4 linked regions of the Stegostoma tigrinum genome follow. The protein of the gene in region 4 purifies or fractionates together with the protein of the main gene of each other region. This does not show direct contact. Links are inferred from orthologs where the notes say so. Each region holds a gene or a part of one and is shown on either strand. Other genes may lie near its edges.

Region 1 (7,790 bases), on a different chromosome or scaffold from region 4:
CATCATTTGTCTGAACTTCGGCAAAAACAATCCCAACTTAGTCAATCTTTCCTCATATGTCAGTCCCACCATCCCCAGAATCAGCCTGGTAGGCCTTCATTGCAACCCGAAGAGCATCCTTTCTCAGAAAAGGAGACCAAAACTGCACACAATATTCTAGGTGTGGCCTCACCAAGTGAATCAAATTGCGTGAAGACTGACATCTGCCATGTTGGGAATTACTGAAGGAGGCCAAGATGGATCACCTATTCAGCTTTTCTGGCTGAAGACTGGTACAATTGCTTCAGCATCATCTTTTGCCCTGATGCGCGAGGCTCTATCATTATTGAAGATGGAGATACTTGTGCAGCCTCCTCCTTGAGCCAATTTTTTAAATTGTCCACCACCATTCATGACCGAGTGTGGTAGGATTACAGAGCTTAGCTCAGTTGTAGAATCGCTTAGCTCTGTCTGTCATTTGCTGCTTGTGTTGTTTGGCACATAAGTAGTTCTGTTTTATAGCTTCACCAGGTTAACACCTCATTTGAAGGCATACCCCCCTGCATTCTTAATTGCAGTAGTTCAGGCGCTAACACTGTATGTATCTTTCAAGATAGTTTGGAGACAAAGTGAGTTGCAGCCAGGACAATGAGAAGGAGTAGGTGCTAGCTTGCCAGAAGGTGTGGTTTATAGTAGATTTTGCTTCAAAGGGCTTAAATGAGGACTTCAGTTGGGTAGCCTACAGAATACTGAAGGGTATACACACTATGCTTGATGCATTAGAAAGCTTACCTTCAATATCAAAGAGTCCAGCACCACCATCGCACAGAGTATTGTGCAGGCTTGAAGCTTCTCCTTTCCAACATAGACATGTGACCAATTCTGTTCACACAACTGTGGGTCCATATTATGCAGTATTGTTTAGCCGATGACATAGCTTCCCTTGTAGCACAAGGAGCACCTGCCCAATGTGTGTGTGTTGCACTAGAAGGTCACATGGCTGTCGTGCAAGCTCAAATTGTTGCTGCCATGACTGGGAATTGTGGTGTAACAAATGATTTGGTGAGCATCTCAGCAGTCCGGTGATCTATTTTCTGACAGGCTATTACTATTGCTGAGGCACTACTGGTCATGAACAATGCCACGAATGAACATCCCTTGTCATCTAGGTGCCACCCAAGCAGCCAATGTAGTAAACATGTTGAGACACCCAAGACTACTTCAGAGTGTTACACAAGTGGAAGCCATCCCATAAATTAACATGCCCCTACCTTTGTTATCATCCATCTTAGAACAATTACAGGTTTTTGACTACGGGAGAAATTTTCTAGTCGGTATCCCCAATTATGATGTCAGATGCTCATAGATAAATCTACTTTCACTATCGAAATCTACTTTCCACTGTGCAGCTGCCTCGACTGTGTAACACCTTAATGTGTACATTGCTAACAGATATGGTGCCTATGTTCCACAGTTAAATCTTATTACAATGGGACAAAAGGGCTAATTACCCTTTTAATGACCTTAATTGGCAACCCACTGCGACAGGACAAGTAGCCACTGATGCTGGAAGTCTGTCTTTGGAAAAATTCACAGTGGTGGGAAGCTACCAGCAAGCCAAACCAATGTGTCATGATTTAGATTTCCACAACTCCATCTCTGCTTCAAGGAGCTGGCCAGAGGCCAATCAGGAGGAACATACACAGCCATGACAAGTGGGCAGGAATGAAAACACAACTGGGTTTCTCTCACTCCATCCTCCTTGCTAACATATCTAACTCTTCAGACATAAGAGATGACAATGTGTAGAGCTGGATGAACACAGCAGGCCAAATGCATTTCTGAAGAAGAGTCTAGGCTCGAAACATCAGCCTTCCTGCTCCTTATGATGCTGCTGGCCTGCTGTGTTCATCCAGCTCTACGCCTCGTTATCTCAGATTCTCCAGCATCTGCAGTTCCTGCTATGTCTTCAGACAGTTGGATTACAAATGGCTGATTAAATCAATTCCCACAGAAAAAGGTATTCCAATAATATTCACAGCATTTTGTATGATTTAATATAATTGTAAAATGGTGACTTCCTTACACAGTGATGACATGCACGTGGCAAAATGACCGAGATGTGTGTTGGACTGCCGTCCTGGCACCTTCATTCTGAAATATGCTCCTGGTCCTGCATTCAAGCCCAACTCCTTGTATCCAAGAAGATTTCGCCCGGGAGGAGTAAACAAGTCGTGCAAGTGTGGCTGGGGTGGCCATGGGAGGCATAGAGAGGTGATGTTAACACGGAAGGGTGGTCTGATGAGGGGGTGTGGACGCAAGAAGGTTGAGTGGGAAGTGGCTCTGCAGATTGGGTGTTGCATATGAGCACAGGACAATGGAGTGGGGAGACATGATACTGGGAGATGTGAGATATGAGATAACAAGGTGTACAGCTGGGTGTACACAGCAGGCCAGGCAGCAGGAAAGCTGATGTTTCTTTCAGGCCTAGACCCTTCTTCAGAAATGGGGGGAGGGGAAGGAAGGGAGTTCTGAAATAAATAGGGAGGGGGGAGGTGGATAGAAGATAGAAGGAGAAGATAGGTGGAGAAGAGACAGACGGGGATGGAGCCAGTAAAGGTGAGTGTAGGTGGGGAGGTAGGGAGAGGATAGGTCAGTCCGGGGTGGACGGACAGGTCAAGGGGTCGGGATGAGGTTAGTAGATAGGAGATGAGGGTGGGGCTTGAGGTGGGAGGAAGGGATGGGTGGGAGGAAGGACAGGTTAGGGAGGCGGGCATGAGCTGGGCTGGTTTTGGGATGCATTGGGGGGAGGGGAGATTTTGAAGCTTGTGAAGTCTACATTGATACCATTGGGCTGCAGGGTTCCCAGGCGAAATATGAGATGCTGTTCCTGCAACCTTCGGGTGGCATCATTGTGGCAATGCAGGAGGCCCATGATGGACATGTCGTCTGAGGAATGGGAACGGGAGTTAAAATGGTTCGCGACCAGGAGGTGCAGTTGTTTAGTGCAAGCCAAACGTAGATGTTCAGCAAAGTGTTCCCCAAGTCTCTGCTTGGGTTCCCCAATGTAGAGGTGGCCACAACGGGAACAGCAGATACAATATACCACATTAACACATGTGCTGGTGAACTTGGGCATGGCGGGGGGTTGGGGTCTCTCAGGGAGGGGTGCTCTCGAGGTGGGTGTTGTCGGGAGGGGGCTCTTTGGGACGGCGTTATGAGTAGGGTACTCTCAGGGAGGGTACTATCAGGTTGGGAGGGTCTCAGGGAGGGGATGTTGCGGGTAGGGGGCTCTCGGTGGGAGGGTATTGCAGTGAGGGGGCTCTTGGGGAGGGAGGTGCTGTAGGGAGGGGCGGCTCGTAGGGTGGGGTGTGTTCTGGGGAGGGGGCTCTCAGGGAGGGGATATTGCTGGAAGCGGGCTCTTGAGAAGTGAGTGTTGCGCAGAGGGGCCTCTTAGGGAGGGGGGGTTGTTGCGAAGAGGGGGAGTCTCTTGGGAAGAGGGAGTGTTGCACGGAGGGGGCTCTCAGGGAGGGTGCTCCCAGGTATGGGCTCTGAGGGGTAGGGTCGTTGTGGATTGTGGGGTCTTGGGGTGGGGCGGTATGGCCGGGAGGCTTGGGCAGGAGTATTTTAAGAAGATGGGGGCTCGCAGGAAGGTGGGTGTTGTGGGAAGGGTCGCTCTCAGGAAGGGAGTGTCGCGGGGAGGTGGGTTGTTGCCGGGAGAGGGGTGTCTCAGTGAGTGGAGGGGCTGTTGCAGGGAGAGGGCTATCGGGTTGAGAGGAGGGTGTTACAGGGAAGGGGCTGGTGCGTGGGGAGGGGGCTGTTGTTGTGAAAGTGCTCTTGGTTTGGGGGGGTCTCTTGGGGAGAGGTGGTCTTGTGGGGAGCAGCGTCTCTCGTGGGGGAGGAGGCTGGCAGGAAGGGGTTTAACTCGGGTGGGAAGAGGTTGATCTCGAGGGGGTGGGGGCTCTCAGAGAGGCGGGTGTCTCCCGGAGGAGGGGGCAGTTGGGGGGATGATTGGTTGTGGGGAGGGGGCTTTCGAGGAGCGAGGTCACTTGGGGGTGGTACTGTCAGGGGGGGTGTCTCGGGAAGGAGGCTATTGGGGAGGGGGGTCCTCGGGGAGGGTGTACTCTCGGGGAGGGGGAGGCACTGTCAGGGAGGGGCGTCTGTAGGGTGGAAGGGGTCTCTTGGGGAGGGAGGGTGTCTATTGGTGTGGGGAGTAGGCTGGCAGGGAGGGGGTTCTCTCAGGGGGAGTAGCTGTCGGTGAGGGGGTTCTCTCAGGAGAGGGAGGGGGTGTCTGTCAGGGAAATGGCTATTGGGGAGGGGGTTGTCTTGGGGTGGCAGAGGGGATCTCAGGGAGGGGGATCTCAGGGAGGGGGTTTCTCTCGGGGGGTGGTCTTGGGAAGGGGGTTTCTCTCGGGGAGGGGGTTTTCTCAGGGGGTCCCTCGGCGAGGGGGGATCTCTCGGGGAAGCGGGTCTCTCATTGAGGTGGTGTTTTCTCAGGGGTCTCTCGGGGAGGGGGGTCTTCTCAGGGATGGGGGTCCCTCGGGAACGGGGGGTCTCGGGGAGGAGTGTCTCTCAGGGAGGGGGGTTCTCAGGGAGGTGTGTTTTCTCGGGGATGGGGGTTCTCTCGGGGAGGGAGGGTTTTCACGGAGAGGGGGTCTCTCGGGGAGGGAGGGTTTTCTCGGGGAGGGGGGTTCTCTCGGGGAGGAAGGGTTTTCACGGAGACGGGGGCGGTGGTTGTCGGCGGGCGCCGAGTGGGCCTGTCCACTAGGCCGCGCTGTTGGGTTTTGACATTTCCCGGTTTTCCCACATCCATGAGCCGGTGAGACGGGAGACGGAAGGCGGGTGGGAGGGAAGCGGGTTCGCCGCTGGGTTTCTGACCCTCCCCCGCCCCCCCCCCGATGGCGGAGACGAAGATAATTTACCACATGGATGAGGAGGAGACGCCGTACCTGGTGAAGGTGCCGGTTCCACCGGACAGGGTCACTCTCGGTCATTTCAAGCAGGTTCTCAACAACAGGCCGAGCTGCAACTTCAAATTCTTCTTCAAGTCCATGGACCTGGACTTCGGGTGAGTGACCGGTCGGGTCATGGTCAGTCTCAGGCGGGTTGGGTGTCCGGTGGGACCCGGGGGGGTCTCCGGCCGTTGGGTGAAACGGGGCAGATGTGTGTCAGTGCACGAAGGTGGAGTACCCACTGGGCTGTTGTGAGGGAGGTTCCCGCTGCTTGGTATTTGCCCCCCTCGTGTGTTTCGGGCGTAATCTGTTTCTTACTTAACACCCCCATTCCCCCCGGACCCGTCCTCCCTTCCGCCTCCTTTTTCTAAATAACGCCACTTGCAAGTATTTTAAAACCCCATTCATTCGATTTGGGTCTGGGTCTCATGAACCATATTGCTGCTGCATTTGTTTACATAACATTGGCTCTGCTAAAATTATGTTACCACGGAGGAGGCCGTTTGGCCCTCTGCTTTAAGCACTGATATTTAGCTGAGGCAGCCCAGAACTTCTAACTCAGTGTTCCCCCCTTGTCCTTCAGTGCCTTCCTTCAAATATCCATTCAGTTCTGCTACAGAAAATGCAATGGTTAATCTCTTAAACACTTCCTCTGTCAAAGCATTCCACACTCTCAACAGCGCAAAGAAATTTCTCTAGACTTCCTTCCTTAGCCTAATACTTTTAAGTTAATAGCCCCTCAGCACTAATTTAGGTTTTTCAGCATCAGAGACCTTCTTCCATCTTAATTTTAATCAAAGCCTTTATATTTAAAAGTCACAATTAAATATGCTCATGGTCTTTCCAAGAACACAATGTAGCACAAGAACAGGCCCTTCAGCCCACCAAGCCTATGCCGATTCACAATCCTTAGCTGGAATTATTGCCTACACATGGTTTCTATCCCTGTTTGCTTCCCATTCACGTATCCATCAAGATACACATTAAACATTGTTAATGGATAGTAGGAACTGCCGATGCTGGAGAATCTGACGTGACAAGGTGTACAGCTAGATGAACACAGCAGGCCTAGCAGCATCAGAGGAGCGGGAAAGCTGATGTTTCAGGTCCGGAACCCTCATTGTTAACATGCCTGCTTCCACCACTTCCAATGGCAGTGCATTCCAGGCACTTACCACTCTGTGTGAAAAGGTTTCTTCCCACTTTTCCCCTGGAACCTGTGCCCTCATGTAGTTGACCTTTCCACCCTGGGAAAATTCCTCTGACTGTCCACCCTATTTATGCCCCTCATAATTTTGTGGCGCTCATCTCTCAATCTCCGTCTTTCCAGTGAAAACAATTTGAGTTTATCCGATCTTTCGGCGTAACTAAAATCCTCCTGATCCGGCAACATTCTTGGTAAACGCTCTCTGCACCCTCTCCAAAGCATCTGTCTTTTTGGTAGTGTGGTGACCAGAACTACATGCGATATTCCTTTTGTGGCCTAACTAAAGTTTTGTACAGCTGTAATTATAAACTTCTCAGCTTGTGTATTCAATGCCTTGGCTGATAAAGGCAAGATTGCTGTCTGTCTTTTTCCCCACATTATCTACCTGTGTTGCTACTTCAGGGATCCGTAGATCTGTATGCCCAGATCCCTCTGTTAGCACTGTTATGGGTTCTGCTGCTTATTGTATAATTCACACCTGAATTGATTTTCCAAAATGCATTACCTCACATTTGTCCAGATTACCATCTGCTGTTTCTCTGCCCAAATCTGCAATCTATCTACATCTCACTGTATCCCTTGACAATCCTCATTATCTGCAATTCCACCAATTTTGATAACACCTGCAAGCTTACTTATCAAACTATTTTTCCTCCAAATTATTTATATATATTATAAACAACTAAGGTGCTGGCACTGATCCTCTAGAACATCACTAGTTACTGGCCACCATTCCAAAAAGTACCCTTCCACTGCTATTCTCTGACTTCTATCTCCTAAGCCAGTTTTGTATTATTCTAAGATAACAAAGTGTGGGGCTGGATGAACACAGCAGGCCAAGCAGCATCTTAGGAGCACAAAAGCTGACGTTCCGGGCCTAGACCCTTAATCAGAAAAAGGGTCGAGGCCCGAAACGACAGCTTTTGTGCTCCTAAGATGCTGCTTGGCCTGCTGTGTTCATCCAGCCCCACACTTTGTTATCTTGGATTCTCCAGCATCTGCAGTTCCCATTATCTCTTTTTGTATTTGTATTATTCTAGTCAGCTTACACCAGATCTCATGAGGCTTTACCTTTTGTACCAACCTGCCATGAAGTGGCTTACCATGTAGACAATATCTATTGCCATTCTGTCATCAATCATTAAGTGGAAACAATGTTAGTATCTGTCGTCTCACTTCATAATTATAATCTTCCATTTCTGACATTATTCTGTTTAAATTAATGACCTGCATTTATAAAGCATATATCCTGACTTCAGGGTCCTGAAGAGCTCTAAAATCAATTAAGTACTTTGCAGTCAATGTAGTATTAAGAGGAGGCAATGGCCTTAGTGGTATTATCACTGGACTGTTAAACCAGAGAGCCAGGTAATGTTCTGAGGACCTCGGTTCGAATCCTGCCGCGGCAGATGGTGGAATTTGAATTCAATAAATATCTGGAATTAAGAATCTAATGGTGACCACAAAACCACTGTCAATTCATCTGGAAAAGCCCATCTGATTCACTAACGTCCTTTAGGGAAGGAAACTGCCATCTTTACCCGTGTCTGAAGTGGCATGTAGTCCAGAACAAAGCAATGTGGTTGACTCTTAACGCTCCCTGGGCAATACATGCTGACTTAGCCAACAATACCCTCATTCCCATGAATTGA
Region 2 (6,934 bases), on a different chromosome or scaffold from region 4:
AGATTTAGGAGTCCTAGCTTTGCAGAAACATATTTACTCTGAATCCTCTGATCAATCAAACACTGATTTAGCAAGTAGCTTGGTCAGAAATAAAAACAGAAATTGCTGGAAAAGCTCCACAGGTCTGGCAGCATCTGTGGAGAGAAATCAGAGTTAACGTTTTGGGTCCAGTGGCCCTTCCTGCTTGGTCAGTGTAGATTTCAAGTCATCCCTTGAGGAAGTAAAGCAAGCGGAGTTGGGGAGATATAGGACTGAGAAACCAGAGGTAGAAAATCCAAGCAAATTAATATGAAATTATGAATATAGAGGCTGGTGCTGTTGACAGTGAGGCTCTTCAGAGTTGGGTGCAGACTTGATGGGCTCTTCCAGGATTCTATCAATAGAAAGTTTTTAATTTTATGACCGTCATAGCATTTTCTTTTACAACTAAACATTTTATACACTCTCTAAAACAGTTTTTCTTTTGTTTGCAATTTAGTATTGGCAAAATTTACCTCTGGAAGTTAAATGATTACATTTTTGGAAAGACCAATGAAATATGGTGCTCATGTAACAGAAATTGCATTTTGGGTGCAGCACAGGTCAAGCAAGCTAATTGGACATGTGTAAACAATGTCAATAAACAAGGGGAAACAGCCTCTCAACATGTGCCCAGTCAAGTCCCTTAAGAATACAATATATCTCAATGAAATCACCTCTCATTTTTCTAAACTGCAGTAAATACATTCCAAACCAGTTTAGCCTTCGCTCATAAGGCAGATGATTCATACTGGGAATCATTTTGAACCTTCTCTGAACTACCCCCAATGAAATATCTTTCCCAAAATATGGCGACAAAAACTGCTCACAGTAATCCACATGTGGTCTTACAAGCACCTTGTACAGTTGCAGCCAGACATCCCTACTTTTATACTCCAACGCCTTTGAAATAAAGGCCAAACTCCATTAGCCTTAGTGATTTCCTGCTGCAACTGTGTGCTAACTTCCTGTGTTTCATGCACAAGTATTCCCAAATCTCTTTAGGTTCCATTAGTTCCTTTTTGAAAAGATTGGATTCCTAATCAAGGCATTTGATGTGCTTAAATTTGTATTGTGGTGTGAAGATCAACGGTAGAAACCCAAACATGCTCTCTTCTTCACAGATGCTACTAATTTATGTTTTCAGTATTTTGGCTTAATTTCACATTTTTCCTTCATTTCATAAGAATTGTAAATACTAAAGAAACTTTAAAGAAATCTAAAATAAAAAACAGACCTAGGTTTTTAATACCAGCCAGGGTGTGCTGTCTGGCCGGGTGGGGATTTGAACATATGATGTCAGCTCGCTTGTGACTAGGAAGATTGCCACCGTATTGTCTACAGGAATAGTGCCAGACGACTGGAGGATAGCACATGTGGTTCCCCTGTTCAAGAAGGGGAGTAGAGACAACCCTGGTAATTACAGACCAGTGAGCCTTACCTCAGTTGTTGGTAAAGTGTTGGAAAAAGTTATAAGGGATAGGATTTATAAGCATCTAGTAAAGAATAAATTGATTAGGGATAGTCAGCACGGTTTTGTGAAGGGAAGGTCGTGCCTCACGAACCTTATTGAGTTCTTTGATAAGGTGACCAAACAGGTAAATGAGAGTAAACTGGTTGATGTGGTGTATATGGATTTCTGCAAGGCATTCGATAAAGGTTCCCCACAATAGGCTATTGTACAAAATGCGGAGGAATGGAATTGTGGGAGATATAGCAGTTTGGATCGGAAATTGGCTTGCTGAAAGAAGACAGAGGGTGGTCGTTGATGGGAAATGTTCATCCTGGAGACCCGTTACTAGTGGTGTACTGCAAGGGTCGGTGTTGGGTCCACTGCTGTTTGTCATTTTTATAAATGACCTGGATGAGGGCGTAGAAGGATGGGTTAGTAAATTTGCAGACGACACTAAGGTCGGTGGAGTTGTGGATAGTGATGAAGGATGCTGTAGGTTGCAGAGAGACATAGATAAGCTGCAGAGCTGGGCTGAGAGGTGGCAAATGGAGTTTAATGCAGACAAGTGTGAGGTGATGCACTTTGGTAGGAGTAACTGGAAGGCAAAGTACAGGGCTAATGGTAAGATTCTTAGTAGTGTAGATGAGCAGAGAGATCTCGGTGTCCATGTACACAGATCCTTGAAAGTTGCCACCCAGGGTGACTGGGCTGTTAAGAAGGCATACAGTGTTTTAGCTTTGATTAATAGAGGGATCGAGTTCTGGAACCAAGAGGTTATGGTGAAGCTGTACAAAACTCTGGTGCGGCCGCACTTGGAGTATTGTGTACAGTTCTAGTCACCGCATGATAAGAAGGATGTAGAAGCTCTGGAAAGGGTGCAGAAGAGATTTACTAGCCTGGTATGGAGGGAAGGTCTTACGAGGAAAGGCTGAGGGACTTGAGGCCGTTTTCATTAGAGACAAGGTTGAGAGGTGACTTAATTGAAACATATAAAATAATCAGAGGGTTAGATAGGGTGGATAGGGAGAGCCTTTTTCCTAGGATGGTGACGGCGAGCACGAGGGGGCATAGCTTTAAATTGAGGGGTGAAAGATATAGGACCGATGTCAGAGGTAGTTTCTTTACTCAGAGAGTAGTAAGGGAATGGAACGCTTTGCCTGCAACAGTAGTAGATTTGCCAACTTTAAGTACATTTAAGTCATCATTGGATAAGCATATGGATGTACATGGAATAGTGTAGGTTAGATGGGCTTGAGATCGGTATGACAGGTTGGCACAACATCGAGGGCCGAAGGGCCTGTACTGTGCTGTAATGTTCTATGTTCTAGAATATGGTTCAAATTCTGTGGTCAGGTAACAAATGTGGACAGAAAACACATTTAACACTTGGAGACAACAACTTTTCATCAGATTAATTCTAAAAGATTATTGACCGGAAATATTAATTGTTCTTCTCCACAGATGCTAGCTGAGCAACCTGAGTATTTCTGGAATTTTCTGCTTTTGTATTTTATATGTTATTATCCAGCACAATAGTAACATCAATTAATAATAATTTTCAGATGACTATTATAACTATGAATCTGAACTAGCAGGTCATCAATGCAGACATTCAGTTAATTCTAAATGAACCTGGACTAAATCTATTATTTTTGTTTTGTGGGCTTCCTAAAATAAATCCATTTTTTACTCATAGCAATACTTTATACACTATTACAGCATCTTTAATTATACTTTTAGAATTAAAAATTCAACATTCTAAATATAAAGTTAATTCTCTATCAAAGGTCACCTAAAATTGGCAAACACTTTAAAAGTCACCTTGAATTCTCTATCTATCAAATGTAAATAATAAATAAATATTCCGTGCCTGTGTTCATCAACCATTTTTCAGCTATTTGTTAACTGTTGGAAATTAATTTTCAAAATTCACAAACATCCGTAATATTATCTTTTGAAAAGGTAAAATATATGAATCTGATACAGGACATAGCCAACGAGGAATCACAAATGTGGGATGTCATAAGTAAACAAAATACTGTTGCAGATTTGTGCATTTTTAAAGATTTAACCTTAATCAGTGATAGCAATAAGGATGCTATTCATAAATATAGTGCAAAATACTTTAGCGAATAAAAATTCAAATGACGGAATACTGACAAAACACTATATTTATAAGTTGAAAGGGAAGAAATACGTTTCCTCCCAAAACACAAATACCTTCACATACCCACAACAACACAACCCGATCACACGCGAACAGCCAATCACGTCAGCCTTCCTTATCACCTGCCCTAGAAGCAATATGGCCTCCGTCAACTGAACATTGTAGTTAGCGTTTGGGTCCGCCCCTGAGACACTTTGATTGTTCTGATGACGTCAACGTCACCGTCAATTTATTTTAGGCGAGTCTTTTTCCCTTTATGATTGGTCAGCGGCATGCCAATCAAAAACAACACCCCCGACATTTCCGCTCAACAGTGTTAGTTGAGTCCCAACTCAATTGGTGTGTTTTGGAGAGCGCGAGGGAGGTGGCGACAGTTGGTGGTCCCTTTTTTAAAATAAAACGCGTCCGTGTTTTTAAATTTAAAGCCACGATCAACCTTGAACGATTTTAGCCTATTGGGAAAAAAAGTCATCATCGTCGTCGTCGTCGTTGTTGTTGTTGCGGGAGGCGTCTGTTGGCCCGTCTGTTGATGGACGCACCGAGAACGGCGGCGAGTGAAGGCGACAGCGGCAGGTTGCGGGGTTTGACAACGTATTAGCTCAGGCTCCGAGGAGGAGGGGGGGAACGACTAACAGCCACTCCCCGGGGAGTGGGGAGGCAGGGGAGGTGGCGGCAGCGCTGTTGAGCAGGCCTCGAGGGGGCTAGAGGACAGAGCTCCGGCCCTCGCCGCCAACACTAACTTCATTCACCGTATCATCGACTTCACATTTTAAAAAAAAGTATAATTTCACCCCCACGCTCTTCAATCCCCCATCCTTTTCCCTGACGGTTACTTTAAATCCTGTATTGGATCGAATTCACAAACACGCAGCTCATCGCCCGCTGCCGCTAATTTTTCTGCCGGTGTGATCGCCAGTGTGTTTTCAAGAAGATGTCGGCAGCGGCGGCAGTGGTGACAGCGGCGGAAAAAGTAGATGGTTTCACCAGGAAATCCGTGCGGAAAGCGGCCAGGCAGAAGAGGTCGCAGGGATCGTCGCAGTTCAGGAGTCGGAGCAGCCCGGTCGAGATCCTGCTTCTTCCACCCCTCAGAGGTACCTAGATCCCTGGGTTATCCTTGTTGGTTTAACCATGCAGAAATGTCTTTCCCACCGGCATCCATCAAAATGTCCAGTTCCCGTCACCAGCTCCGTTTACGTATTAAAATATTAGGGATGGAATTTACCCAACGTTCACGCATTGAAATACAAAGGTTCAAAAAAATGTCCCGTGCTCATCAAGATAAAGCTTCAGGTACTCCGGCTCACCACCTACCACGCATCAATAACGCCGAGTTTTGGCGATATCCCTCTTGCTCCTCTTCCGTCTGCCCCCCAACTGACTCGTCAAAATACTGAGCTTTAGAAATCACTTATCTATTCATTTATCTGGGTTCAAAGATTGTCCCTATTCGCCCATCAAAACATCAAGGTATAGAGCCCTTCTGTAGTCACACATCGAAGTATCATGGTGCATCGGTGTTCATCAGAAAAGTGAGGTTAAGAGTCCAGAGATCACCGTGTCACCGATCAAAGTATCCGATTCTGCACAGCAGCGAATTGAGAGACCAACAAAAACATCGGCCATCAAATTTCAGATACCACTTTCGTTCATCCGTGAAAGTATTGAAGTTTAGACTTCGCATATTCACACATGTACATATCGCAGTCTTCAATCTTATTCCTATTCACTGGTGGCAATTTAATCACGTACCTATCAATACAAAACTGTTGCACTTTGTTTGTCTATAAATCTTTTATTATTTAGAAATAATGCCCAATCCCCTACTTGCTCATCAAAATTTATCTTTCGCAAGCATGAAATTCAGATTATTTTGCACTGTCAAACTAATAGCACAAGGGTGAATATGTTAATTCAGCTTTGATAAAATTAAAACAGTTCAAAAATGATTTTGCCATTCACAAATTTGGCCTCTGTGATCAATAAATTTAGCTCCCAATCAATTTGACTGATACCAAGATTCCTAACTTGCTCTGTAAAGTTTTTTTTGCGATTTAATGTCCTGAAGTATTATCCTTCATAACTCTTCACGTGCACTTCAATCAGGTATTCAAATCCTTCACCCATCCAGTCCACAGTAGAATTGAAGTTCAGGAAATGTATTTCTAATTCTTACTGAGGTATTGAAATTCAATGATTTCTCTGATTTCTCTAATTTCTCTGACTTCTGTTTCTGGTCATTTTAAGCTTGCTTTTTATAGTAAAGGTGTTGATTTAGTGTTAGTTCACCTGTGAAGATCCAGTGATTTGAAACATTTGGCTTCTTTGAAATAAATTTAGTCTAGCAGTCTTCAACATCAAATTTGTTAACTTTTATATTCTTAATATTCAAATGTATATCTGAAGAACCAAAATAAAGTACTGGGGGTTTCAGTACATGGTGAGCAATCAAGACACTGTCTCTGATATTCAAATACGCGTATGGTAGAATTGATGAATTGTTTTTAGTTTGTTGCTTCTCGTTCTATTTGGTATGTTGAACCATTTGATGTGTACCAGCTGTTTTGAGTAATTGGAAGCAGCATAGTTTCACTACACTAGTGTAGCAGAATTTTATAAACTCACTATAGTGCTTTATTATTTACTTGATTTTCATTTAGTTTTATAAAATTCATTATCATATTTGACGCTGTTGTCACTGTAGGAGACTGATCTGTACCTATTTTGCTTAAATTGTCAATCTTAAAGTTGGAGATTTACTTGCAAAGCATGTACAGTATGTTCAACTTGGTTTCAATGGGTGGGAGTGGGAAACCATTTTAAGTTTTCAAAAGTGCAATTTAAATCTACAAGTTTGGACAGCCGAAGTGCTATTTCCTCTGTACTTGCATGGTACTAGTAGGATAAAAATATTTGACCTTTGGTTGTCAATTAGAACAGCAATGTGGTTAAAAATTAATTCATATTTCCTTGTTGTAATTTCAAGTAAAGCAGGTTGTATGTTTCAGCATCATATATTCATTAACTTTGTATGGGTGAGCTTTCACTTGTCATTTTTGATTTCCTATGATTGAATGGACCCACAATATTTCCTTTTCTTATGTATTTGCTTTGAAATTGCTGACAGCAACAGTGCCTTGGAAAAGCTTCTTCATACTAATCTGCTTGACTTTTCTATGTTAACTCTCTTGGTTTCTCATCTTTGGTCCTATACCTCCACTAACTTGCCATATTTTAAGAGTTGACTTAACTGCCTCTTTGACCAAACTTTTTGTCATCTGAAATAATGTTACCTTATG
Region 3 (7,008 bases), on a different chromosome or scaffold from region 4:
CTGTACATAATGTAAGACACTGGGCTTTCAAGGAAATTAAGGAAATGTGTGGCAAGGTAGAGCTGAGGCATAAGATAAGTCACAATATTATTGAATGGTGGAGCAGGTTTGAAGGGATAAATGGCTCATTCCTGCTCCAATTTCTTAAGTTAATACAAAAGGAAAGATGTGAAGAAATTGAATTATATGAATATAATCAGGTGAAAAAGATTGCTTGATCCTTCTAACCTTGTCCTTCCAAAATGTCAAGTCAAATTTTCCCCTCAGCATCTAGATTTTTATTAAACGAGTCCTACGTTTTGGTGTCAGCTGTCCTTCTTGGAAAGGAAATAATATCTCAAACAACTTCTTTTTACTAGTAAGAGGACTTTGATATTTAAGCCCTGGCACCAAGTTTTAAAAATCTAGTTTTATCTTTACACGAAAAGCACTTTCAAAGTGAATCCCTTCAGCTTACTGACAGTACGTGATTACTAAACTGGAAGGAATGTGAGTTGGTGCATGTCACATCAGGAACACTTGTGGTTAAAACACACAGGGAAACATAAACATATATTCATTCCAGCTAAATCTATCCAAGCAATTTCTCTCTAACTCACATGAGAGCAGTTGGTGGAAGATTCATCAGTGCCCTTCCTTCAATTGCAATCCAACATACATATGCTACCTATCAGCTGCTGCTGATACACCACACCTACGAAAATACTGTTACAAATCTATAGTTGATCGTTCATATACTTTGGATATTACATTTAGTTTTGGGAATTACACTTCTGACACGGGGAATGGGGGCACCTGGTTGGGAAGCTGATGACCAACCTTGGGGAGAATGTAATTCAAGCACATCAAAAATTTTTTTATACTTCAAAGGTTGATGTCATGCTGACTTCAGGGTTTAACAATTCGAAATGCATGATCATAAACAGTAGGCATGCTTATGTAAGTAAAGAACTGGAGATATGGCACCTGCAATTATTCCAATAAAGTATAAATTTATTTCCCTTCCCCCCCCAATGCTGGATACAACATCCTTTCTCAGCCATTTACACTCCCTTTGCCTTTAGTTCTGTGACTCTGGTGGTCTCCAATCTCCCTTGCCCTCTAAAATTCCCATGACATTCTCTTCTTTTAAATGTGCCCCATGGTTCTAGGCTCACCATCTATCTTAAGAATATTGTAAGTTTCAATGAGATCGTCTCTCATTTATCAAAACTCTCGAGAATACCGGCCCAGTTGCCCAGTCTATAGTACAGTTCTGCCATTTCAGGAACAAGTCCAGCCAACCTTTGTTGCACTTGCTCTGTGCAACAGTATCATTCCTGAGTTAAGGAGATGAGAATGGACATAATACTCCAGGTATGATCTAACCAAGCTCCTTTATAATTTAATCATGAAGCAGCTGAAGCAAGTGTGTGATAACAAGGTGTAAAGCTGGATGAACACAGCAGGCCAGGCAGCATCAGAGGAACAGGGAGGCTGACGTTTCGGGTCTGGACCCTTCTTCAGAAAAGTGAGGGGTCTTCGGACTCTTCTCGAAGACGTTTCTGAAGAAGTTTCCAAAGAAGGGTCCAGACCCGAAATGTCAGCTTTCCTGTTCCTCTGACACTGCTTGGCCTGCTGTATTCATCCAGCTCTACACCTTGTTATCTCAGATTGTCCAGAGTTGGCAGTTCCTACTATCTCTGAAGCAAGTGTGTGCTTTTTTTAAACTGCTGTCCTACCACTTTCAATTCATGCACACATACACTCACTGCCTCTGATCCTGCAGCTCTTTTAAATTGTTCCCTTGTTTTACAATGACTTTCCACATTCTTCCTACCAAATGAATCAGTTCATACTTCTCTGCATTAAATTTCATCTGCCCATTCCACCGACCTGCATACATCCCTTTGACATTTTACATGATTCTCCTGGTCGTTGACAATACTTCCAAGATTTGTCCCATCAACAAACTTTGAAATTTTACCCTATATGCCACAGATAGGTCATTTAATTTATCAGGAAGAGCAGTCATACTAATACTAATCCTAGGCAACTCCAGTAAAAATTTTCCTCTAGTCTAAAAAGTAACTATTTACTAATACACCTTTTTTGTCTGAAACTGAGCCAGTTCCATATCTATGTTGCTACTGTTCGTGTTATTCCATGAGCTCTAACCTTGTTCATCAACATCTGAAATTAGAGAAAAAGTAAACTACTCAGCCTCTCGAGCCTGCTCTGCCATTCAATAAGTTCATGGCTGATTTCATTGTGTTTCAAATTCCACAATCCCATATACACTTGATTTGTGTGCTCCCACCTTTACCCTAAAAATATTAAATAACCTCACCTCCATTGCCCTCTGAGGAAGAATTCCAATGTCACTTAATCTTTTGAGAGAGAGAGAAAAATTTCCTCATCTCCATTCTAAAAGAGCGACCACTGATTTTAAATGTAGGCACCTTCATTCTGGACTGGGTAACAAGGGGAAATGTCTAAATAAAAACCAAAAGACCTACAGATGCTGTAAATCAGGACAAAAACAAAAGTTGCTGGAAAAGCTCAGCGGGTCTAGCACCATCCGTGAAGGAAAAAAACAGAGTTAATGTTTCAGGTCCAGTCACCCTTCCGCAGAATGTTTTCCAGCAACTTTGTTTTTGTGATCATTGTTGAAGAGGAAATATCTGTTATTTAGTCCTTTAAACAAACGGGTTGTGGAAGCCAATGTACAACATATCAACAGCATTACCATCATCAAACCTCTCTCTTGCTTCATAATAAAACTCAGATCTGGTGGTTAAACATGATTTTTTTATATCAACTTCTTTAATTAACTTCTTTCTTACCTTAATTAACTCATATTTAACAAAGTGAGCATTAATTGGTTCAAAAATGTTATTTTTAAAAGGTTTTCCTTTACAAAAGGTTAAACTGACTGGCCCATGGTTGCTGCATTTATCTTTGTGCACTGTTTTGTATAAGTGTACAACATTTGCAATTCTTCAACTAAGCTAGGGAAGATTACAGCCTCTGCAATTTCTATTCTCACTTCCCTGTTATATTTCTTAACTGTAATCAATGACTTACCAATCTTTGAACATTTCAAGTATCTACATTTCAGTCTCACTCCCTATTGTTCTTATTTGACCCAGTCTCCCTCCCCATTTCCCCCAATTTGATCCAGTCTCCCTCCCTATTGCTCTTATTTGACCCAGTTTCACTCCCCATTGCTTCCTATTTGACTTAGTCTCATTCCTGCACCTTTTTGGCCCAGTATCACGCCTCTCTATTGCTTCTGTCTGATTCAGTCTAACTCCTCTGCTGCCCCTGTTTCAATCCATAGAGTTCCTACAGTGTGGAAAGAGGCCTGTCAGCCCAACAAGTCTACATGAAACCTCAGCACATCCCACCCAGACTCATTCCCCAAACCCACCTAACCTGCACATCCCTAGACACTATGGGCAGTTTGGCATTGTCAATCCACCTAACCTGCACATCCCAAGACACTTGGGGAAGTTTGGCAGTCATTCCACCTAGCCTGCACATCTTTGGACTGTAGCCTCATTCCTAACTGCTCCTATTTGACCCAATTTCAACTCCCACGATCCCCTATTTGATCCAGTCTCACATCCTAACACTCCCAATTTCACACTTCATTACCCAGTTTTACTGCCTCTTACCCCTATTTGCCCTGGTATTACTACCTATTACCCCTGTATAACGCACTCACTCCCTCGTATCCCTATTTAACACCATTTCACACCTTGTTGCTCCCCATTTAACCCAAATTCACTCTTCATTACCCCTCTATGACCCAATCTCACACCTCATTACCCCAATATGACCGAGTCTCATACCTCATTAACACATGTTTTAGTTGGTCTCACCCAACCATGGGGACTGCCCCCTATTGACCGTCTCTGGAAATGCTACTGGAAATTCCACGGAAGTCCCGCCTCCCGGCTGCCAGGCAAGCGGGCGTGACCGAAAGCTGATTGGCTCCGGTTTGTGTCAGTCACATTGTGGGTGTGGCCAGGGAGCGGAGCGGATCCTGGTCGAGGCCGAAGGACTGGAAGCGGCCCCGGGAATGGGAACTATAGCAACGGTAATGAAAGCAAGGGATGAGTGTGGCGGGGCTCAGTCAGAGTGAACTGCGGCTCTGGGTTGAGTATTGATCCGGCCTTCAGTAGCTGAAGCAGGGTTTAGGCAAGGCCTGAAACCTGGGAATGGCTGTAAGTGACGGATCCTGGCGCTGGGAGTAGGACACACTGGGTGATCCATGCAGACTGGCCTATTCATTACCTTTCACTGTAGTCACCAGTACCTTCAACAAAAAGTTAACAGCAGACCACATTAATGACAGGTTGGCTGTCTGTTGAACCTTCCATGACTTTATCCAAATGAGTGTACTTGGATCAAATAACCAGCAGTTAGATCCTGTCTGCAGGGAGTGTTTTATGCTGACGGTGAGATCTTGTTGGTAGCTCTAGTAACGACATGCCAAATAAACGCAATAGCAACAACATTGTTCTTTGTTGGGAAGGTATCAAGCTACTTAATGTCTGACGGCTAAGGGTAAGATCCTGTAGGTCGCTGATGAATCCCTGGGATTGCTGTATGTTTAGTTTCAATAGCATTGTAATTGTCACTGAATTTTGATCTTAATCTCTCAGCCAGATCACTGCTTTTCTGTTTATAGTGCAATAGTTAATTGTGTTATGAGGTTTATAATATCAACTAAGGGTGAAAAGGTTAGCATATTTGCAAGTTTTAGAGCATTTGATTGTGTTTCAGCTTTTCTTTGAGGCTGGTCAGCCCAAATGTATGCTTGTCACTGGGATGACAGTGCAGTAGAACTATTAGAATATTGTTCTTAGCAAAACAAAAGCTAATCCCTTCATTCATTCTTGCCTAACTATTTGAACTTGTTAAAGAAGTTGCATAAAGATTTGCATGAATGTCAATGTAAAAACAGGTCATGTGGTTGACCATAAGTTACAAGGATGGATTTTCTCTGGTTAGACTAGAATGGTTAAAGAATATCTGCATTGAATTCTGGCCTGTACTGAGCAAGTTGATCACAAGTGGGACAGCCAGTTCAGAGTTGACCTTGACGTTCACTTCTGGGCCGGGGATGGAAAAACGTGTCTGGTATTCTCATCCTTCATTGTCTGACTTGCTGCACTGTCATGTAGCCCCAGCATTACTAAAGTGGGCTGTGCCTCAAGACTTCAGGAGGTACTGAAAACCTCCAAAAGATTCCTTATGCCAGTAGATCCTTTGTCCAACAAGACTTAGTCCAATCAGGGAACAGTGAGAATAAGTTAGCAGAAAAAAGCTCTCAACTGCTGGTTAAACCAGACTATCTCACCTAATTAATCTCTTATCAGGTTGCAGTTGATACTTTCACTATGCGTTATCTTATCTGTTTGGGATCAGAGTCGACCTCCTTTTAAATGTATTAATGTTAGTAATGGTTTAGGCAAAATAAGATTGCACATTATATTGTGGATACAGTAGCAATGGGATTCCTCTCATAGCAACTTCCAAACGACATACCACTCTGTACAAGTAAATAAAAAGGCAATTAAATCATAAGAATATTCAATTTCAAAAGATTTTAAGTCATTTTTTTAAAGGTGGGTATTGCACCTTTTGTGTCTGCATATGGGGTGACTGCTGTCAATGTGACACAAAACCTAATTCTTCACTCAATCTCCTTTACTTTAAGAGAACAACTTCGACTTTCAAATGTAACATTGTATGTAAAACCCCCATCCTTTGCACTATTTTGTTAAATCTCCTTTACACTGTCAAGATTGTTCACATCCTTCTGAAAATGTGGTGACCAGATTTAGATGCAGTACGCAATTTGGGCCAAACCAGACTTTGACTTCTCTGTTTTTATACTCAATACCTATGTTTAGTAAGTCTAAAACAATCCCGTGTGCTTTGCTAACCACTGTCTCGATATGCCCTGCCACCTTCAAAGATCAATGTACCTGTGCCAACAAGTTCCTCTCTTCTTGCATATGCTTTATGACTGGCCAGAGAGTTTCTACTTGCCTCTCCTGCCTGGCAAACACATCATCACCTCACTTTTCTATGCTGAATACCATCTGTCACTTGCCTGGCTATTCCTCTAGCTTATCTGTGTCATTGCAGGTGATTCATGTTATCTCCACTTTGCAAGTCCTCAAAGTTTGGTATTATTGGCAAATTTTCTTCAATGACTTGCATCTCAGAATACATAGTAAATTATGTAGCAAGAAAAACACCTGTCCTGGCATTGATCTTTAGGGAAAACCACTGCCCACCACCTTCCATTCTGATAAATAATTAACCATGACTTGGTACGGAGATTGTAGGAACTGCTGATGCTTTCCTATTAGCTTTCCTGCTCCTCTGAAGCTGCTTGGCCAGCTGTGTTCATCCAACTTCACACCATGTTATCTCATTAACCGTGACTTGCTGTTTTCCTTTCCTTATATTTAAGTTTTATCAAACCTGTCACTAATATTTCTCGTTTTCTCGCCTTGTATGTGTTACTTTGTCAAATATTTTCTTGAAATCTAAAAATACAATATCCCTGCATTCCCTTCATGAACCTTCTGTGTTATTTCATGGAAAAAAAATTTAGTCAAATACAAGATTTACTTTTTATAAATCTGTGTTGACTGCACTTAGTTAATTCAAGGTTGTCCAAGTGCCTTGGTTTAATATCTTGCTCCCTGATTATTGTTTCTAAGACTACTAATGTTAAAACTAGTTGGATGTAGTTGCTTGTGCTAACCTTGCATTTTTTTCCTGAGTAATGTTATCATATTTGCCACAGTTTTATCCTTCTGTATCTCTGTCTTCCAATCATTCCAGGATATTACAATGGGCAAGCCTGTTTGACAGTTTGAAACCCACTTGTTTCAGCAACTTGGGGTGCACCCAATACAGGCCAGGTGACTTATCCACTCTAAGCATAGCCAGCCTTTCCAGTGCTTTGTCCCTGTCAACATTCACCTTATCCGTTTCTTC
Region 4 (7,519 bases):
AAGTCAGTTGGATACTTCTCTGTCCATTTAGCAGGAGAATCCCAACAGCTCACGACATTTAACACACTATGTGGATGGTACTCTTTCTGCCAATTACCATTTGGTGTATTAGTTCGCTAAGACCTGGTCCAGCAGCATGTGGATAGAAAGGATTATTAAAATGTACGACATTGTGTTTGCAATGCTAATGACATCATAATCGTAGGCAAGACAAAGGCAGAGCAGGACCACAGCTTTATCTACTAAAGGCAGTAACATGACAAACATGTCACATATTTAACAACACAAAATTCCAGATCAATATCAGCTGATAAACATCTTTGGCTGCATTTACTGCACCATGGAGTCCATCTTGATCTAGACAATGTCAAGGATTTTAAATAAATATTGACCCTACAGGATAAAGAGGACCTGCAATGTTACCCTGAATATTTTGAACTTCCTGATGCAGTTTGTTTCCAACATCTCAGACAATGTGCCTGTGCTGAAAGATTAGGTCAGGAAGGACATTCCCTATGAATGTTAAAATGACCACAAATACATCTTTGATTTTCTTAAGATAGTTCTGTCACTAAAATCTTGCCTCTGTAGTAGTATGACCCCAAAAAATACATGATTTTTGAAGTGGATGCTTTGCAAAAACGTCTAAGCACCTGTTGCCTGCCCAAGCCAACGATTCCAATTTGAGTGTGAGAAATTAGCTCTGCTATTCTACATAATGCAATTTCATACCTAGTTATTCGGCAGGAAGTTCACCTTTGAAACAGATCATGAGCCACTAGAAATGATCTGCCACGAACCATTAATGCATGCACTGCTGTGGTCACAGTTTCTAGATGTCAATGTGCAAGGGAATCTCTTCAAAGTGAAAAAGAAGCCGGGTACCAGGATGATTACATCTGATGGGCTCAGCAGGTTATCAAACACACACAAAGACCAAGATGTTCCTCTTGATCTACAGGATGAGTTTTATTTTCAGTTTATTCAGCATCATGGACTAGACAGAATCTGACAATTGACCACAGCTCACTGGTAAACCATTTCAAAACATGCACAAAGTGGGGAGTGACCCACATCACATCACCACCCCATTATCCATGCTCAAGTGGCCTAGCAAAGTGTTAGTATATACTACCAAATCAATGCTGATAAATTGTTAACATTCAAATCAAAATTTTCACATTGTGCTGATGCGTTTTCATATTAACACTGATAGAGATTGCCATCCCCAGCACAATTTATGCTTGAAAGAAAAATATGAACAACTTTGCCCAACAACCAATTTTCTAACCATTCCAAGATGTGAGACAAAGACAGAGGAGAATGGAAAAGATACACCACGAGTACACAGGTAGAGAACTACCAAAGGTGCACACCGGGCGGAAGATGTGAGATAGAAATACGAAGACCTGCTAGCAATGGCTTGTAAAATGTGCCACCAGCCCAAATCACATGAAGTCATCACTGATCATGGTGCTACGCTGCGACAGAACATAAGCCAGCTCCATACAACATACCAGTCAGGCACAAAAGGAATAAGGAAAAACACTCCAATTGGTCATTGTCTGGTGATGTTGAGTGATGGCAACTGGCAGCAAGGTAATCAAGATGTCAAACAAGTTGAACAGATAGCAATTTGCACCTCTCCAGACAGGGTAACAATCACTCGATCAGGAAGAGGTGTCAAACCTCCAAAGTTACATTGAAGTTTAAAATATTAATCTTGCAAGTTTTTCTTAACCTGTTTGCATAATTATCAAATTGACAATATAGATCTATGAATATCTGTTTCGGAGTTATGCTGACTTACTGATCATCAGACAAAACACAATAGCCACCTCCCCTATAACATTACCCCTGCCACTACTGATAAATCCATTTTAGAAAAGGTTGACTTTCAACTCCCCAAACTCTCCTACGCCCAAGGAGAATGGGGTATGTGGGAGACATTAAAATTAAAGCCACATTCTATTCTCCAGTTACCTCAGATTTCTGGCACTAGGAATCAGTCTCCAGCTCCTTTTATTCCATTAAATCCTTTCTAATTTTGCCAAGGCTTCTTTGTTGAAATCTGGATTCTGAACAGCATGAAACCACATCCTAATATCCCTGCATTGGCCACGTGGTCTCCTTCAGTGCTGTAACCATTCTATGATATGATTATTCTGTGATTTTGTCTTGAATGCTGTCAGCCTTCCACTAACTTTTTACTAGGCAATGGGGAAAATTCACAAGAATTGGAGAGCTCCTGTATGTAAACCCTGCGATATTTTAAAACAGGTATCTGTTCCCTGGTGAACAAGTGGTGGGTAGAAATGTGATCCTTGATTTCAATTCTGCAGGCACATACAATATTACGCTTTGAATTTAATAATTCACTTCATATGGGGTCTGAATCCAAAATAGTACAGAATAACTTGCCACTATTAGTAAGTTTACTTGACTAGCTAGTTTGAATCTTAGAATTAAAGCATTAATATACACATTAAATGCGCATGAATGAACCTTTGTTTTATAACACTCACTTCCAGCTCAGCAATGTCCAGGTTTCTTTTGGCCTTGTTTTAATTTTAAGCGGAAAATTTTATGCTTCATTGAAGTTGATGACACAATGGTTTAATCTTGCCACAACGCCTTTTGATTCAAACAGTAAAAGAGGAAATTGTTTTTGAGGAAATTATTCCCAAGTAGATTTCTCTCCAATGGAAAAGTCTCGACACTGTTTGTTGTTCAAAGATGATGGTCTGTGTTGGCCAAGGTTTATCACAGATCTGACCCATAATGCTTGCAGATACTCAGAGAAAATACGACAAAATTAATTTGAAAGAATTTAATGTCCTTCTGATAGAGTGGAACAAGTGAAGGAAGCATCGGTCCCAAGATCATTGTGGTTGGTACCAGAGGGGTGGATTGAGCCAAAACTGGTCCATTTTCTCTTCAGGAATCTTTGTAAATGCTCAGGATGGAAGAACATACTTACAGGAAATAAATGATGCAAATTTAGCAAGAAACAGGAAAGGGGTTGTAGGGAGATCAGGGCTTCTGTTGGGGAGGTGGTCAAATAATAGTTAACGCACCTTTATATAGTGGCGGCTCCAACTGTGCGGTGTTTTTTATTCACTGTCAGATTTTGGGAATCATTGGTATTTATTGTCCGTCCCTAACTGGCGATGAGAATGTGATGATGAGCCATTGCTTAAAGCCCTGTGGTCTGTGAGGTGTAGGTACATCCTTTGTGACTTAATTCCTGCAGCAGTTATGATACAATCGAGTGGCTTTTACACTGTCTTAGAGAGATGTTAAGAATTTCTGCCTTCCTGGAGTAGGCCAGAACGGGAAAGGATCAGTGACTTCCTTCCTTGAAGGGTACTAATGAACTAGATGGGTTTTCATGACAGTCTGGTAGTTCCATGACCATCATTACTGAGATCAACTTTTTATCCCAGATTTATTGTACATTTTTTTTGGCCAAGTCTGAGTTGCATCAAGTTTTTTTTTCGTGGTTTTTCAGCCATGAGTTTACTTTAACTGGTTTTTTAACCCTTTAATGGGTTTTCATCCTAGCTTACCAAACCTGCCTCATTAATTGACCGCCCAACCCCTGAGGCATCGCTTTCTAATTTCTGCCCATCTTACCATGCACCATTCCCAGGAAACTCACCACCCAGTGGAGGCTAGTACCTTTTGCTTCCTTGCCATCTGTAAAAGGCAGTTTTGACATTCCAAAGCAGCCCTGCCCAGTGACAGACAGAGTCGGAACATGGCAGGGAAGGGGAAGTTGGCGCCTTGATTGTCCAATAAGGACCTCAAAGTCCTGGTGAATAGGATGGTGAAGCAAGAAGTGCCCTCTTCCCAGAGGATCGCTAAAGGAAGGAGCACCATCAAACACTGCCAACTTGGTCTGAGGTCACCACCCATGCCAGTGCCCGCTCCAGGGTGAGGAGGAATGGCCAGGAATGTAGAAAGAAGGTCAATGACCTTCTTTGCATCACGCCTCCACACTCTGCCACCTCACACACGATCTATCAGTCCCACTGCAGGCTCCTTTTGCCAAGGTTCATACCCCACCACACTCGCCGCTGCCTGCAACACATTCCTTTACCAGCTTTGCCCACTCACCGTCCACACTGCCTCCTCATTCTTTCAGAGCACACCTTTTGCCTGCACTATTAGCTGGGATACCCATTGTTACCTCACTTATTTGCCCCACCACTTCCCACCTTTCTCCTTGCATTACACGGGAAAGCTGCCCACAACGGGGCAGGTAGAGCCTATTCCACAGGCGGGGGGACAGTGCCTGATATCATGTCCCAATCTGTATGGGAGGAAAATCCTGACCCTCACAGGAGACAACCAGGACTGCCTCCTGCAGGGATGCAACACAGTCATGTCCCAACAAATGAAGTAGGAATGACATGGCATGGCACTGTCTCAATGGCACACTGTCACTCTCAGTCATTGCACACCTCTTCCAACCATTGGTCTTTTCTTCCTTTTGTCTTACAGGCTCTGCAAACCTCCCAATGGCTGGTAGTGGAAGAATCACCCTCCTAAATCTCTGGGGATGGGAGTATGGAGGCCTCAGAGGAAGCATCCTGAAGACCTCAGCATCTCAGATACCAATCCCCTGGCGGGAACTATAGGCACACAGTGTGTGGCTTCACTGTCTGGTAAGCACCTAGCCACAACAGCTCTGCATCTGGCACTCAGCAGTGGGCCTGAGACTTGGCACTTGCTCAGCTTTCAGCAGGAGACGTCCCTGTGGTGTCAGTAAACAGGAACGTGATCCTGGGCGAGCAGGGGAGGGGGCTGTTGTTTGTGTGGGGTTTTACCCCAGTCCAGGTTCCCGTCTTCACAAGGGGATAGACCGGTGGCCAAGGAGCACCCAGATGGTGGTGGACCTGTATTCTGGCCTTGAGGCAGATAACACTCAGGGCCCTGAAGGGGCTCTCTCTCTCCAGACAGCCTGTCCCTCCAACCCTTGGAGGTATAAGCCGAGGAGGGTCACCTTGCCTCTGGGAAGAATTCTATCGCGTGCCTGGCCATCCGGGCTGAAGCATTGTGAAGTTTGCTGCACCAAAATTCTAGGGACAATGGGCTCCACTGCTGAGTCAGGGAGCGCACTGAGTTACAGTGAGACAGAGAGCAGGAAGAAAATATCCTGAGGGCACTTTGGCTGCCCCAGTGAAGACAGCTTTTCTGTAAATAGTACATTGTCCATGAAACTTTCAGATATTATTAACATCCTTCCATGTGTTTGCGAATCCATCTGTGTAATGCACCTTCACACCAGCAATGACTCATGGCCACAGATGAGGCTCCTGGAGAGAGGTCTGTACTGAGAGCCCAATGCATCTGGAAGTGAGGGAAGCCCTCTGTGTGCAAAGGTGTACAGCTCAATGAGTTGCCCACCAGTGGCTGTGTGAGGGTGGTGTAATGTACAGAGAGGCTCAATGCTGTCAGCTAGCCTGGCTGGAAGCAACTTGTCTGCTTTACCTTTCGAGGCCAATGTATACCCCTTTATAAACCATTTGATCACTGATTGCCTCTGACCCCTCCCTTGCAGGTCAAATCATTTATAGATGACATGAAGATTGCTGGAGTTTCTGATAGTGCCAACGATTGTAAAAGGATACAACAGGGTATAGATAGATTGGCAAGTTGGGCACAAAAAAGGCAGATGGAGTTTAATCCAAACAAATGCGAGTTGATGCATTTTGGAGGATCAAATTTAGGTGTGAATTATACTGTAAATGGCAGAACACCTAGGAACGTTAACATACAGATGGATCTGGGCATGTAAGTCCACAGTTCCCAAAAAAGATGCCCATAAGTGGCCAAATTGATTAAGAAGTCATATGGCATGCTTGCCTTCATTGGCCTGTGCATGGAATAGAAGAATTCGCAAGAAAGACGGCAGCTGAGAGGAGATTTGATAGAAGCCTACAAAATAATGAGAGGTAAAGATAGGGTGGAGGCTTTTTTCCAGGGTTGAAGTTGCAATTACAAGGGGGCACAGGTTCAAGATGAGAAGGGGAAAGTTTAAGGGAGATGCGTGAGTGAAGTTTTTCATGCAGAGTGTGGTCGGAGCCTGGAATGCACTGCCAGAGGAGGTAGTAGAAGCGGGCACATTGGCAACATTTAAGCAGCATCTGGATGGTTACATGAACAGGGAACAGTGGGATATGGACCAAATAAGGGCAAAAGTTTTTTAAAATTTAGTTAGGGCATGATAACCGGCACATGCTTGGAGGGCCGAAGAGCCTGTTCCTGTGCCATATTTCTCCTTTGCTCTTTCATTCCATAGCCACAAGCTTCAGGCCTACTGTGTCATCCCAAACATCCACAGTTCCTTCCCAATAGAGAATCCTACTAGCTCCACACTTTCCCAAAGCCCAAACCAACCCACCTAAATGCAGCTACAACTGCCTAACCTACCCACCCAGCCCCTGGCATATAGTGACCATGCCAGGTGTGATTCCCTTAAAGCCAGAGTGCTCCTGTCCATGGACAAACCCAACCACCCTGTCCCTCCGCATAACCCCCTTCCCAGCAATACTATACTGTCTCCTCCACCCCTTGCAAATTCATCTGCCACCACCCAGCACTTCCCCCCACTTTCACTATTGTTAGTAGACCCTTGACAAGAGTTTGCAGCCCTTAGTCCCAATGAATCTGTTGCCGAGGCTCGTTGCCATGGCTACACCCACACTTGTCCCGCCTCCCCCTTACATTCTATGAATGGAATACAAATAACTGGCCACAAGCCTCCCCCCTCAACCCACATTATCCAACAGCCACACAGAAGATGTGCCCAGATCCCTGACTGGGGCCTGTAAATCTCCCCGACCGTTTTAGATCTACTGACTGAACCTGGCATTACTGACTGTGTCCACTCCCCGAGAACGGCCCCCAGCCCCTGATCAGACTCCTGGCCATGGTCAACCTCCTGGACTTGAATGGGAGGCTGCGTTTGACTCAGTGTACTGGGCCAGCCTAACAAATGCCTCTTGTGAGCACTGCTCCTCTCAGAGTTGGATTCATGTCTGTCTGCTCGTTGCACACTCAATCAGTTTGCCAGCTAAGCTGCAGGCACATGGTGCAGCTATGAGATTGATGTGGCACACTGCCACACAGCAGGATGTGGCTCCCCCTGGGCTGAGGACTGCATTAACAGCAAGGCAACCTGCTTGTTGGGTGACTGCATGAATTGGCATGGCAAGGCAAGGCATGGATGCTACTTGCATGGCAGTAGGCAGTAAGTGATCACTAAGAGAGACAGCAAGCATTCCTACAATGCAGCCTGGTCCAGACTGCCAGTAAGGGGCCTAGCCCTGTGCTCAAAATGTCCCTCCTGCACCTTTCAGGGCCAGTATCTGGTGCATCTTGCAATGCAAGTCTGTGCTTCCAAAGAGCACTATCAGTGTATCAGAGGGGTGCCTGGATGGTTGTGGGTGGTTGCCTGGTTCTAGATGGCAAAGTCCACTGAGCAGGAATGTGTTCAGCTGGTGTCCATGAA

The links.
Region 1: the proteins of axin1 (region 4) and segment polarity protein dishevelled homolog DVL-1-like purify together in Homo sapiens (affinity purification with western blotting; 3 studies listed by BioGRID). This does not show direct contact. The link is inferred for Stegostoma tigrinum from reciprocal best matches to the Homo sapiens genes AXIN1 and DVL1.
Region 2: the proteins of axin1 (region 4) and ppp2r5a purify together in Homo sapiens (affinity purification with western blotting; 3 studies listed by BioGRID and IntAct, with this or other methods). This does not show direct contact. The link is inferred for Stegostoma tigrinum from reciprocal best matches to the Homo sapiens genes AXIN1 and PPP2R5A.
Region 3: the proteins of axin1 (region 4) and amer1 purify together in Homo sapiens (affinity purification with mass spectrometry; 4 studies listed by BioGRID and IntAct, with this or other methods). This does not show direct contact. The link is inferred for Stegostoma tigrinum from reciprocal best matches to the Homo sapiens genes AXIN1 and AMER1.

What each region holds. Positions count from the first base shown.
Region 1 is NC_081381.1:27,493,831-27,501,620, reverse strand, and holds the start of segment polarity protein dishevelled homolog DVL-1-like, read left to right. Parts: upstream 1-4,780; 5' UTR 4,781-4,877; coding exon 4,878-5,047; intron 5,048-7,790. UniProt on the Homo sapiens protein: Participates in Wnt signaling by binding to the cytoplasmic C-terminus of frizzled family members and transducing the Wnt signal to down-stream effectors. Plays a role both in canonical and non-canonical Wnt signaling.
Region 2 is NC_081362.1:54,688,792-54,695,725, forward strand, and holds the start of ppp2r5a (serine/threonine-protein phosphatase 2A 56 kDa regulatory subunit alpha isoform), read left to right. Parts: upstream 1-3,911; 5' UTR 3,912-4,569; coding exon 4,570-4,729; exon of another isoform or gene 4,730-5,172; intron 5,173-6,934. UniProt on the Homo sapiens protein: The B regulatory subunit might modulate substrate selectivity and catalytic activity, and might also direct the localization of the catalytic enzyme to a particular subcellular compartment.
Region 3 is NC_081368.1:33,312,812-33,319,819, reverse strand, and holds the start of amer1 (APC membrane recruitment protein 1), read left to right. Parts: upstream 1-3,989; 5' UTR 3,990-4,084; intron 4,085-7,008. UniProt on the Homo sapiens protein: Regulator of the canonical Wnt signaling pathway.
Region 4 is NC_081376.1:42,034,853-42,042,371, forward strand, and holds the start of axin1 (axin-1), read left to right. Parts: upstream 1-4,509; 5' UTR 4,510-4,670; intron 4,671-7,519. UniProt on the Homo sapiens protein: Component of the beta-catenin destruction complex required for regulating CTNNB1 levels through phosphorylation and ubiquitination, and modulating Wnt-signaling.